2 linked regions of the Macaca mulatta genome follow. The protein of the gene in region 2 purifies or fractionates together with the protein of the main gene of each other region. This does not show direct contact. Links are inferred from orthologs where the notes say so. Each region holds a gene or a part of one and is shown on either strand. Other genes may lie near its edges. The genes, in order: TIMM13 and AFG2B.

Region 1 (6,612 bases), on a different chromosome or scaffold from region 2:
TTTTTATATCATTGGCTTTCTTTAGTTCTTGATACATTTCTAGAGAATTTCTAAGCAAACTGCCAGAACGTGTGGGTGGGTATCCTCCAGCCTCACTTCGCTGCCACTTCACCGCTGCCCCGGAGACTTTTCAGTCCCACCCCACTCCCCATCTCACCATTTGGTCAAATTGGAAGCCCAGGGCCAGGACCCCGAGGTTTAGAAGATGCTCGGGCTTGGAGGGAGGAGGGCCGGCGAGGCTAGAGCGGGGACAGGAGACGGCCCCGATGCGGACAGAGCGCGGAAACCGCGTAGGAATTCAGTGGTGGTGGGTTTTTTGAAGGCTTTCTACAAAACCAAATTCAGAATCCAGGCGTCGACCTGGTGGGGCCGGGGGCCAAGCCTGCATTCTGGCTGCCCAGCTTCTGACAGCTGGAGCTCCTCAGGCAGCCACGCAGTGGGTGTGGAGCAGCGTGGGGGTGGCATGGCCCCCAGGGTGGGTTTTCGCTCCGCTGCCTGGGCTTCCAGATTGCCGTTCTGACAGCCCACTGGCCGGGTTTCTCGGACCGTTGACTTTATTTGGGGGAGTTTTCCCTCAGGTCAGTTCCTGACTCTGCAGGGCCAACAGGGCAGGGGAGGGGAAGACCCGGGGAAGGGAGAATGAGGACAGTCCCGTTGTTAAGACCTGTCACATTAAGCAGGGAGGGGACACAGCTGGTTGCCTCGGAGGCAGAGGCTGTGAGTTTCAGAACAGCTGTCTGCAGGGAACGCCACCATGTGGACTCCCTGGAGGAGAGCGCTGTGGAGCCCCTCCCGGGTTCCGGCTCCTTCTGCCCTGTGCCTAGATACACACACGCATCTATCTATCCATACTGTAACTTTCATCTGTGATTCTCTCGCTGAAGCCATGTTTCTCAGATAGGCCAAGGCCACCTGACTCCTATCACGACGCCCCCAAGCCCCTCAGTCCAGCTTCCCAACGCCTGGCACCCCCTTTGGCAATAGCTCACCGTTTACACCCTCCCTCATAGATACACAGAAGTTATTTTTTTAATGGATATTTATTTTTTTACATTAGTCAGTACGCAGGTCAGGAGCTCACGCCAGGGCCTTGAGGACAGGCTGACTCTCCTCCCCGGGGTGGTGTGGGACTGGGGGTCACTCTGACAGCAAAGCCTCCTTCAGAAAGTGCAGCTCGAGTCTTAAAGCCACCAAAACTGAGCCGTTGGCACGCGCCGTCTCCAGGCCTTGGCAGGTTGGGGGCGGCACTGCTCCCCTGTCACTGTGCATCCCGTCTCCCTGGGGACTTGCCAGTGGGAGGAAGGAATGGGGGTCCCCAGCCCCAGGCCGGGAAGTAGCCAGCGGCTGACAAAGCAGAAACACCCGCTGCTCCATGTAGCCCCCGCTCGCTGTCCTTGCTCTCAGAAGTCCCTGTCCCGGCTGGGCGCGGTGGCTCACGCCTGTAATCCCAGCACTTTGGGAGGCCGAGACGGGCGGATCACGAGGTCAGGAGATCGAGACCATTCTGGCTAACACGGTGAAACCCCGTCTCTACTAAAAAATACAAAAAACTAGCCGGGCGAGGCGGCGGGCGCCTGTAGTCCCAGCTACTCGGGAGGCTGAGGCAGGAGAATGGCGTGAACCCGGGAGGCGGAGCTTGCAGTGAGCTGAGATCCGGCCACTGCACTCCAGCCTGGGCCACAGAGCGAGACTCCGTCTCAAAAAAAAAAAAAAAAAAAAAAAAAGAAGTCCCTGTCCCATGTGGATCAAGGGGGGCGTGTCTTACCAAAGCATTTCCTCCTGGAGGGGCCCGACAGGCTACCACGCTGTGCTCCCAGTCAGGTGGCTGGTGGGGAGCTTTGCCCACCCCAGGGATACCCTCTGCCAGCCGCTGGAAGTGGGAGTGCTGGCGACAGACTCCTCTTCCCCACCTTCATGGCAGGAGTCACCTGGACTCCAGTGGCCAGGCTTCGTGCCAGCGAGTGTTCCGGGGGTGGGTCTTGGTGGTCTTGTCCTGTGCAGAGTATGCAGTGGTCTCAGCCACATCCTACGTATTTTGGGCCTGGGGGAGCAAAGCTGTATCCTGGAGTTGGTCTGCAATTTGCTGACAGCTTCACAGGCTGGGCTCAGGGACAAAGTCCCCCCCCCAAAACCGGCAGGTCCTGGTGTCCAGACACTGCCCAGCCCTGTCCTGAACACAGCACGCCCCAGGTCCACAGAACCCCCCGCCCTACATTTGCCTTGGGTGGAGGCTGAGGGTGGTCCTAGGACTGCAGGTGCCCTTAGCTGAAGGGAGTGGGGAGAGGTGTGGACTGTGCATCCTGTGGGTGATTGGAGGTTCATTGAGAATTGAGTCTTTGGAAACACTAAGAAAATCAAAGTTTTAGAAGTTATTTATGGCCTGGGAAACAATTTGCATTTGTCCCCAAATACGCTTAGCTGTGTGCCGCTTAGAACGATGCGAAACCATCCCTCTGTGTAAGCCCATGCTGTGACTCCAAGCCTAGCGCCCTCCCTGCGAAGCATCAGACGCCGCCCAGCCCTGGGGGGAGGCCCACGGCTGCTGGACCAACGCGGGTTCTGGGGTGCACAGCCCAAGGTTAACGCGGAAGCCTGCCCCGCTGAGCCCAGGAGCCAGGAGGCCTGCGGGCTGACCCAGAATCCGATCATGCACCTGTCCTCATGCCAGCGGCTTTGGCTGGGGTTGGTCTGAGGCCTGCACGGGGCAGTTCCTTGTTAAAGATCCAAGGGACTCAGTCCTGGGGCGTCGCCGCCTGCAGCGTCTTCCAAGCCCTGCGTCCAGCGAGCGTCACAGCACAACCTGCAAACGGAGCTGGGCTGTAGCCTTGGGGCTGGCATGGACTTTCATTTCCGAGATTCGGTTTTTAAGAAGATGCATGCCAAATGTGGTGTTCTTTTTTTTTTTTTTTTCCAATGATTTGTAATATACATTTTATGACTGGAAACTTTTGTACAACACTCCAATAAACATTTTGATTTTAGGTTCTGTCTCTTGAGTTTATTCCTGCGCGGGGAAGCTCGAGCCGGGGCCTCTGTCCCCAATGAAGCGGATGTCTAAAACCCTCCACCCTCAAGGAAAAGGTGACTGGCGAGTATACACAGGCCCCAGGTGATGCATGAGACCCTGCCCGTTTTTTCTAGTGAGCCTCCGACGCTGTAGCACCAGTGGACTCTTCATCATTCATCATGTGATGAGACCGGGCTCCGCCCCGGCAGCAACACGTCATATAGACGCGCCGGCTGCCTCGTGCGCATGCGCGGCAGGCCTCTGGGTGGGACGAGCCGGAGACCGATCCTGTGTACAAAGTGATCGGCTTCGGCCGCACGCAGTGGCCCCCCCCACTCCCCGGGCGAAGTCGGCCGCCTTCCCGCAGAGTCGCAACCACGGCTTCTGTAGGTAACGGCAGGTCCAGGCCGGCGCGTGACCAGAGGGCCCCCCGCGCGACCTGGAATGGCCCGGGCGCGCGCGGTCTTGTGGGAGTTGTAGTCTTCCGTCCCCGCCCACGTGGACTCCGTTTCCCGTGGTGCCCCGGGAGGCCCGCTTCCGGCGCAGCTACGGGTCGGCGCACGCGGCCTCGGTCCGGTTGACTTTGCGGAGCCATGGAGGGCGGCTTCGGCTCCGATTTCGGGGGCTCCAGCAGCGGAAAGCTGGACCCAGGGCTCATAATGGAGCAGGTGAAGGTGCAGATCGCCGTGGCCAACGCGCAGGAGCTGCTGCAGGTGCGGGGCCGGCCGGGGACGGGCGCTGGGGCGACAGGGCCACCCCTGGGGGCGGACGTCGCGGCTAAAGCTTCGCGTGTCTCCACAGAGGATGACGGACAAGTGTTTCCGGAAGTGTATCGGGAAACCTGGGGGCTCTCTGGACAACTCCGAGCAGGTGAGACCCGCAGAGGTTCGGGGCAAGGGTCGCGAGGGTCTGGATTCGGGGGGGAGGCGTCTGCGCGTGCGCAGACTAACGAGGCGGCGCGGCGGAGTGGCTACCGCACGCGTGCACTCTGCAGCCCGGGCGGCCTGCATCCGGGGTGAGGGAGGTCCCCGGGGGCGCGAGGTCCCGAGCTGAGCCGTGCGCCCCTCCGGTCCCGCAGAAGTGCATCGCTATGTGCATGGACCGCTACATGGACGCCTGGAACACCGTGTCCCGCGCCTACAACTCGCGGCTGCAGCGGGAACGAGCCAACATGTGACTGGCAAGCCCGTGGGCCGCCCCGCCCCGTTCATTTCCACAAACGTGCTCTGAGAGGCGGGGCCCGCATGTGCGTACTGCCTGCCCGGGGCTTAGCGGGGTGGCACCGGTGCTGGGACAGACGGGACTGTGTCCTCGCCACCCCCCGCCTTGCCCCCTGCCAGCCAGTGCAGCTTGGATCTCGGGGGTGGGGGGGCCCTGTGCCTTCCCAAAGTGCTGGCAGCCCAGTGGCACCTCCTTCAGGCCTTTGGGGTCTTCCCCTAGTGGGCCCAGGTCAGCCTCATATTTTTTGGGCGGAGAACTCTTGTCTGGACTTTGGAGGTGGGGGTGGTCAGACCCCACCGGAGCTGTCACCTCCTGCGGATGGGCAAATAAATTGGTGGAGGGCGGAGAGAAACCTCTTTATTTCCCTCCTGAGGGATCTCTGGGAAGAGTTGACGCGTGTCCCTGGAACCCCAGTTCGGAGGGTCTCAGCCTCTCCTGGGTTGGGAGAAGTCCATCTTTCCCCTTAAGTGCCACCGGGCTGCTGAGTCACGAGGAATGTGTTGTTGCCACCACCCCTGTCCCAAAGGCTAAGGGGGACAGCCCTCCCCTTGTCCAGGCTTGCTTTGACTCCTCTTCCTTCCACCCGGGTCCTGTTGGAGCGCCAGGCAGGTGGTCCGCGCTGTGACACTGAGGTGCTGAGCCAGTGAGCCGGGGTGGAGCAGTTGTGTTTATTGGAACAAAGGGTGCTACCAAAATGCATCCCCATGACCCACAGCCCCCCCCCCACTCCCGTCCTTGGGTAGGGTACAGTGAGGTGGGGTGTTGGGTGGCCTGCTGCTCCTGCTGCTTTCTCCTAGAGTCCCGGCCTGGGCAATCACGTGGCGGTCACTCCTGGATGTGCTGTCCTATCCAGCCTCTCACAGCTGCCACCCGGGTATAGACACCTGGGAAGTGGGGCCGGCCGCAGCCATAGCCCCAGCTGGTGACCCCAGTTAGCACCCATCGTCCAGACGGCTCCCTGCAGGCCAGGGGTCCCCCAGCGTCACCCTGATGGGGAGAGAAGCGGGGGTTCAGAGTCTGGTACCTCCCCTACAGCAGCCCTTGGGTCATTGGCCCCCGTAGGGGTGACCGTAGTGAGTGGCTTCCCTTGGAAGCTGCATTTTCACTATCTGGAAAATGGGCTCAATGCAAAGGTGGCAGACATTGATGGACACCCGCCACGTGGTCCCGGAGTGGAATGGGGCCTCCCGCTGCAGCCTCTGCCTGCTCTGCCGTTGAGGCCCAGGGGTGGGATGCGGTGGGTACCCAATAAACGGTTGTGGAGTGGAAATTCCTCCAGAGCCAAAAAGGCCCCCTGCCTGATCCTCTGGAGAAGTCTGCACCGGAGCGTGGCGCCCGGACGGTGGGCTTCGTGGCAGCGGGAACCCTCCCTCCCCGGCGGCTGGGCGGGACCTGGGCCCCTGGTCGCCCAGGCCGGGCCGAGGCTCACCGAGCAGCTGTCCACGCCGCCCTGCGGGAAGCCGGCACACAGCATGCGGCTGCTGATCTGCACCGGGTAGAAGCGGCGGCAGGTCTGCTCGCTGAGGAGGCGCACGGCCGCCTTCTGCAGCTGCCGCGCCATGGAGCCTGCGGACGAGCGAGATGGGGCGGGTGGGGACCCCTTCCGGCTGCTGCCCTGCACCCCGCACCACCCCGGCCCCGGGCGCGCCTACCTCCTTCGCGCACCGAGCCCCAGCCGGTGATGACGCAGCGCGCACCGTCTGGGGGTCGCGGCACGGGCTCGGGCAGGCAGATGGGACGCACCAGGCGGCTGCGGCGCACCGGCCCCGCCAGCTCCAGCAGCGCCACGTCGTAGTCGAGCGTGTAGAGATTGTAGAACGGGTGCTTGTAGATGCGCGCCACGCGCTCCAGCTGCCCCTCCGCGCCGCTCAGGAACGGCGTGCCTAGGAAGGCTGCCCACTGCTTGGGGTCCCCGTAGCTGGAGGGCGCGCGAGGACAGGCGTCGGCCAGAGCCCCCGCGCCCCCGGCCCCTGCCCCTGCGGTGTCCCCCAGGGGCCGACCAGGGTTCTTGGCCTCTTGGTCTCTGGCTGCCAGTCTGGGAATGGGCTCAGTGTCCCCCACCAGGCACCGAGGCAGCACCAAGGATTGCAGTCATCACCACCTAATATTAGCGCTCTGAAAATACTGGTGGACGTGAGGGTCCGCCCCCCGCTCCCCTTCTGACCTCGAGCCCCGCAGGGCCCGGAGCTGGGTGTCCCCTCTGGAATACCGTACCCCTCTCCTGCCAGGGCTTGGGCCCTGGGGAGGACAGCTTTCTACTGGGCGGGCTTTGCGGGGGCTGGAGCTAAGTGCCAGGGGCGAGGGCTGGGGAAAGAAGTGACCCCAATGTCCCCGTGGGCTTGGCCTGGAGCTGGGAGGGGCTGCAGCCCCCGGGTTAGGTGGGG
Region 2 (6,847 bases):
ATTTCTCCATTGTCGAGATACCGTTTTTCCCTGTGGTGTTAATAAGTTATCTAGTGGGAGACATAAACTTTTCTAACCTAGGAGAAGATTGGGCACTTGGAATTGTATTTAAATTTGTCCTTGACCTGCAGGTCTGTAATTCATGACTACCTTTCCTAACAATATTTAAGATATTAGATTAAATATAATACTTTTTAACATTGTTGGTTGGAAAATCCAGTATTTTGTATATAATAAATAGTCCTGAATCCTTAAACCTGTTCAGGAAAAAACTGATTTCAGCAGGCTAAGGATTCTGAAACAGAGTTTTCAATCTCATTTGTGACATCAAAATTGTCTTTTCATCTTAAAATGCGAAAGGATGATTTGTTATCCTAAATTTTGAAAAGCCTTTTTACCTAAATAATTTATACCTTGCCTCATTTCCTTTCCTTTATTTCTACGGTTACAGCGAAGGTGGGGAGGAGTTATGTGATCTTCTAGTGATCTTTTAAGTCTTCATCTTGTAGGTTTAGGCCAAAACTGCTTGAAGTTTTAAAGTTCTGTGTGTAAAGGTGTGAGAATACATGTCTTTTGAGGGAGACAATAAAAGTAAGCAGGAGATGGGAAGGGAGATTTTCATTTAGGATTTCCTCTGCTTTGAAGTTCCAGGTTTGACCGTAAGCACCTCTGACTTAGGTGGCCCAGTCAGCTGCTGTTGTCCCAGGGTGGAGCCCACTGCTACTTCAGGAGGGGCCTGCTCAGGTGTAGTTACCACAGTTGATGGCTGAGTTCAGAAACAACCAAGGGGAAGTGGAAGGAAGAAAGGCAAAAAGGATGAAGGGACAGAGACAACTGGGAAGGTACTGGCTCCGTCTTTTATTCTTTCCCCCACCAGCTGAGGGGCTTCCCCTACCTCTACCTATGCCAGGGCAGATAAGGGATACCTTACAGTTTGTTAAACTTTTTGTGAACTATTCCTATTAAAGGATTAGAAATGTAGTTTAACACTCACACATACACAGAGGGGAAAGAATGTATATGCCCAAAGAATCAAGTAAAATAATGTGTACACACATGATCTGGAACTATAAATGAGATTTTCAAATACTAGTTGGTGTTACCTAAAGATTAGTTAGTATTTGGACATCAGACACCTAACATCTGATACTGTCAGCCAGTTAAAAAGGCTATTTTTTTAAGTATGTGATAGTGTTATTCATGAGAAATGAAGATAGAAAATTATAAAGAACTGCCTACCTGAAATGTCACTTTCCAGAGATGACAATTGTTAACACTTTTGGGAGAATACGGAATAGCTCTATACATACAGATTCACTTCACATCAGTTCACAAATAAGACAAGACAGTTTGTTTATGAAAATGGGAATCTGTGGACAACTAGATGTTTAGAATTAGATATAAGAGGGCAAATACTTTAATAAATACAGTACAGACATTTTTAATAAAATTTTGAGGACTTTTTAACTAACAAAAATGTGTTTCACTAGAATGATCAAGGAGAGTGTAAAAAGTCTCCAAAATATAAGCTGAGAGTGAAGATGACTTTTCTAGGCATAACATAAACCCTAAGGGAAATTATTTGCTGATTTGACCATTTGGGGGTGGCAAACAATACTATAAAGTCAGACTAGGAAAAATACTTTTAGTCCAATTTCTGTGATTTGGAAAGAACTTTTACAAATCAGTGAGAATAGACCAACAGTCCAAGAGAAAATGGGTAATAGGATATGAACAGGTAGTTGACAATAAAAGGAATGTCAGTAAACACGAAAAATCTTCAACCTTGATTTCTTTTAAAATTATTGTCTTTATTTTGAAATAATTTAAAACATATAGTAAAGTTGCAAGATAGTTACAAAGAACTTCCACTAAACCTTTTATCCAAATTCACCAATTTTTAACATTTTGCCAAATAAGCTTTATCATTCTCTTTTGCTGTCTTTCTTGCTCCCTCTCGTCCTCTTCTCTTTCTCTCTCTCATCTCTGTATATATATATTTATATGCACATAGTATTTATTTATTTTGGACCATTTGAGAGAATGGGTTGCATATATCATAACATTTTATCCCTTAACATTTTAATGTCTATTTCCTAAGGACAGCAATGTTCCTGTATGTCACCACAGTATGGTCATGTATAGTATTGTATCCTTAGAGCCTCACATGTGGAGGCACAAGGTGTTCATTGGTTCCTCATTGGTGATGCTAATTTTTGTCAGCTAGTTCAGGTGGTGTGCAGTTTCTCCACTGTGTAACTGCTGTTTTTTCCCTTTGCCACTAATGAGAAATCTATGGGGAGACACTTGGAGATATCCTGCTCCTCATCAAACTTTCAGGCTGGGCGCAGTGGCTTATGCCTGTAGTCCCAGCTGCTCGGGAGGCTGAGACAGGAGGATCACTTGAACCCAGGTGTTCGAGGCTCAGTGAGCTGTTGCCTCAATGCCACTGCATTCCAGCCTGGGCAGCAGAGCAAGACCCTGTCTCATAAAAGAATAAACTCCCCTCAATGTAGCATCCAATTCTTGCTCATAACAGCCTTTAATATCATGATTGCAAAAAAGGCAATTTTTCTAATTCCAGTATTCCCTCTACCTCATTCTGAATTGAAGAAATTTAGTTAACACACTAATGAATGAGTACTGGTTCTTCTGTCATATTGGCAGACACTTAAGAGTTTGGTAATTGGCCAGGCACAGTAGCTCGTGTCTATAATCCCAGTACTTTGGGAGGCTGAGATAGGTGGGTCACTTGAGGTCAGGAGTTCAAGACCAGCCTGGCCAACATGGGAAAACCCCATCTCTACTAAAAATACAAAAATTAGCCAGGTGTGGTGGCGCATGCCTGTAAATCCCAGCTACTTGGTAGGCTGAGGCATGAGAATCACTTGAACCCAGGAGGTGGAGGCTGCAGGGAGCCAAGATCACAGCACTGCACTCCAGCCTGAGTGACAGAACGAGACTCCGCAAAAAAAAAAAAAAAAAAGAGAGAGAGAGAGTTTGTTAATGTCCAGTATTGGAGAGGTGTGGAGAGAACACAGCTTCATTTTATTGAAGGAGAGTAAATTGATACAGCTTCCTTAGAGAACAATTTGGTAATAGCTGTCAATGTATATGTGTGTACTTATAAACCCAGTAATTCTACTTTGAGGAAATTATTACATAAAATACTTGAACATGAGTTTGAACATAGTGGCTCATGCCTGTAATCCCAGGACTTTGGGAGGCTGAGATGGGAGGATTGCCCGAGCCCACGAGTTCCAGACCAGCCTGGGCAACATAGGGAGACCCCGTCTGTACCCAAAAAAAAAAATTTTATTTTTTGGCCAGGCGTGGTGGTTCACGCCTGTAATACAGCACTTTGGGAGGCTGAGGCGGGCGGATCACGAGGTCAGGAGATCGAGACCATTCTGGCTAACACGGTAAAACCTTAACTCTACTAAAAATACAAAAAATTAGCCAGGCGTGGTGGTGGGTGCCTGTAGTCCCAGCTACCCAGGAGGCTGAGGCAGGAGAATGGCGTGAACCCAGGAGGCAGAGCTTGCAGTGAGCCGAGATTGCACCACTGCACTCCAGCCTGGGCAACAGAGCGAGACTCCGTCTCAAAAAAAAAAAAATTAATTAATTAACCAGGCTTGGTGGCACACACCTGTAGTTCTAGCTCCTCCAGAGGGTGAGTTGCAAGGATTACTTGAGCCTGGGAGACTGCAGTGAGCTATGATAATGTCACTGCATTCCAGCCTGGGCAACAGAGTGAGACCCTGTCTCAAACAAATACTTGAACATGAGCAAGGAGACTTTTTCAGTTGCAGCTTTGTTTTTAATATCAAAAGACTGGGGATGACCTAATGTTTGTCAGAAAGGTGTAGTTGGGGTAAATTCAGTAGTGTATTATGGAATTGTCAAAAAGAATGACGTAGAACTATATTAGTTGACATGAAAAGATATATATTAGTTGACATGAAAAGAACTATATTAGTTGACATGAAAAGGTGAAAGAAGAAAAGTACAGGTTGATATAGTATGGTTCTATTTGTGTATCTGTTTAAAAGGATATTTGTATGCTTATTATCATAACATACTGGAAGAATCACAAGAAACTGTTGACATCTTTCAGGGAAGAATTAACTGGCGGGAATTGGCAGGGAGACATTTATTCTTTGTACTATTTATATAAATTGTTTTTATAATAATAACAAAATTACAAATCCAAAAGAAGATTTAAAAAACGAATTGTGCTATAAAAAAAGACCAACCTAATTTTTGGTTTAATTTTGATGTTTTGGGTGTATTTCTTCAGAACCAGGACGATCCTGTGATTGATGAAACAGACTTCCTTGAAGCTTTTAAAAATATTCAACCCTCATCGTTTCGAAGCGTCATTGGATTGATGGATATCAAGCCTGTTGACTGGGAGCAGATTGGTGGCCTTGAAGATGTAAAACTGAAGTTAAAACAGGTAAGACAGATAATCTACTTAATCCAGTAGGATATTACAGATTAACATTCTGTGCATTTATGATGACAACATACTGCACTGAAACTACTCTTTCTGCTATCACTAATGTGATCCTAACATCTAAATCCAATGATTGCTTTTCAGTCCTTATTTAACTGGACTTCTATGGATGTCTAAATTGGTTTTTATAATTTCCCACCTCGACCCTCTCTTTTTTTGTTTTTGCTTTAAAGAGTTTATAACCTAAGGCTGGGTGTGGTGGCTCATGTCTATAATCCCAACACTTTGGGAGGCCAAGGGAGGAGGATTGCTTGAGTTCAGGAGTTCAAAACCAGCCTGGGCAACATAGCAAGCCCTTGTCTCTATTTAAAAAGAAAGAAGTTCATGGCCGGGCGCGGTGGCTCAAGCCTGTAATCCCAGCACTTTGGGAGGCCGAGACGGGCGGATCATGAGGTCAGGAGATCAAGACCATCCTGGCTGACACGGTGAAACCCCATCTCTACTAAAAAATACAAAAAACTAGCCGGGCGAGGTGGCGGGCGCCTGTAGTCCCAGATACTCGGGAGGCTGAGGCAGGAGAATGGCGTGAACCCGGGATGTGGAGCTTGCAGTGAGCCGAGATCTGGCCACTGCACTCCAGCCTGGGCGGCAGAGCGAGACTCCGTCTCAAAAAAAAAAAAAAAAAAAAAAAAAAAAAGAAGAAGTTCATAACCTAAGGCTGGGCATGGTAACTCATACCTGTAATCCCAGCATTTTGGGAGGCTGAGGCGGGTGGATCACCTGAGGTCAGGAGTTCAAGACCAGCCTGGCCAACATGGTGAAACCTTGTCTCTACTAAAAATACAAAAATTAGCTGGGCATGCTGGCAGGTGCCCATAATGCCAGCTACTTGGGAGGCTGAAGCAGGAGAATCACTTGAACCTGGGAGGCGGAGGTTGCAGTGAGCCGAGATCCCACCACTGTACTTCAGCCTGGGTGACAGAGAAAGACCCTGTCTGGGGAGAAAAAAACAAAGTGTGTAACCTGTAGTCTTAGCACTTCAGAAGGTCGAGACAGGAGGATCTCTTGAGGCCAAGAATTCAAGACCAGACTGGGCAACATAGTAAGACTCCCTGTCTCTACAAAAAAAATTTTTTTTGAGACATGGTTGCTCTGTCACCCATGCTAGAGTATGGTGTCACAAACACAGCTCACTGTACCCTTGAATTCCTGGGCTCAAGCAGTCCTTCTGCCTCAGCCCCCCAAGTAGCTGGGACTGCAGGTGCATACCACCACGCCTGGCTAATTTTTAAATTTTTTGTAGAGATAGGGTCCCACTGTGCTACTCAAGCTGGCCTTGAACTCCTGGGCTTAAACAGTCCTCCAACTCGGCCTTCTAAAGTGCTAGGATTATAGGCATGAGCCACCATGCCTGGCCTACAAAAAAATTTTTTAAATTAGCCAGGTGTGGTGGCACTGCTTGTGTTCCTAGCTACTCAGGAGGATCACTTGAGCCTTGACCCCAGGAGATGGAGGCTGCAGTGAGCTATGATTGCACCACTGCACTGCAGCTTGGGCAACAGAGTGAGATCCTGTGTCTTTAAAAAAATATAAAAAAAAATTTTGGCTGGGCACGGTGGCTCATGCCTGTAATCCCAGCACTTTGGGAGGCTGAGGCAGGCAGATCACCTGAGGTCAGGAGTTAGAAACCAGCCTGGCTAACGTGGAGAAACCCCGTTTCTACTAAAAATGCAAAAAATTAGCCAGGCATGGTGGCGCGTGTCTCTAATCCCAGCTACTCGGGAGGCTGAGGCAGGAGAATTGCTTGAACCCGGGAGGTGTAGGTTGCAGTGAGCCAAGATTGCACCACTGCACTCCAACTTGGGCAACAAAAGTGAAACTCCATCTCAAAAAAACAAAAACAATGTATAGGCCGGGCGCAGTGGCTCACACCTATAATCCCAGCACTTTGGGAGGCTGAGGCGGGAGGATCACGAAGTCAGGAGTTCAAGACCAGCGTGGCTAACATGATGAAACCCTGTCTCTACTAAAAATACAAAAATCAGCCTGGTGTGGTGACGCAATCCTGTAATCCCAGCTACTCGGGAGGCTGAGGCAGGAGAATCGCTTGAACCCAAGAGGCAGAGGTTGCAGTGAGCTGAGATCGCACCACTGCACTCCAGCCTAGGACAGAGTAAGACTCCATCTCAAAAAAAAAAAAAAGAAAAATCAATTTATAATCTAAAACGGGTCAGCAAATTTTCTGTAGAGAGAGCCACACAGTAAATGTTTTAAACTTCACAACCACTCATCTCTGCCATTGTAGCACCAAAGCAGCTGTAGACCATATGTAAATGAGTAACTGTATTCTGATAAAATTATGGACACTGAAATTATATAATTCTCACA

What was found.
Region 1: the proteins of AFG2B (region 2) and TIMM13 purify together in Homo sapiens (co-immunoprecipitation; 3 studies listed by BioGRID and IntAct, with this or other methods). This does not show direct contact. The link is inferred for Macaca mulatta from reciprocal best matches to the Homo sapiens genes AFG2B and TIMM13.

What each region holds. Positions count from the first base shown.
Region 1 is NC_133424.1:3,172,143-3,178,754, reverse strand, and holds TIMM13 (mitochondrial import inner membrane translocase subunit Tim13), read left to right. Parts: upstream 1-3,415; 5' UTR 3,416-3,600; coding exon 3,601-3,720; intron 3,721-3,808; coding exon 3,809-3,877; intron 3,878-4,085; coding exon 4,086-4,184; 3' UTR 4,185-4,809; downstream 4,810-6,612. Other genes in the region: TMPRSS9 (transmembrane protease serine 9), read right to left, coding at 5,054-5,215, 5,658-5,794, 5,881-6,146. UniProt on the Homo sapiens protein: Mitochondrial intermembrane chaperone that participates in the import and insertion of some multi-pass transmembrane proteins into the mitochondrial inner membrane.
Region 2 is NC_133412.1:22,720,649-22,727,495, forward strand, and holds part of AFG2B (ATPase family gene 2 protein homolog B), read left to right. Parts: intron 1-4,300; coding exon 4,301-4,459; intron 4,460-6,847. UniProt on the Homo sapiens protein: ATP-dependent chaperone part of the 55LCC heterohexameric ATPase complex which is chromatin-associated and promotes replisome proteostasis to maintain replication fork progression and genome stability.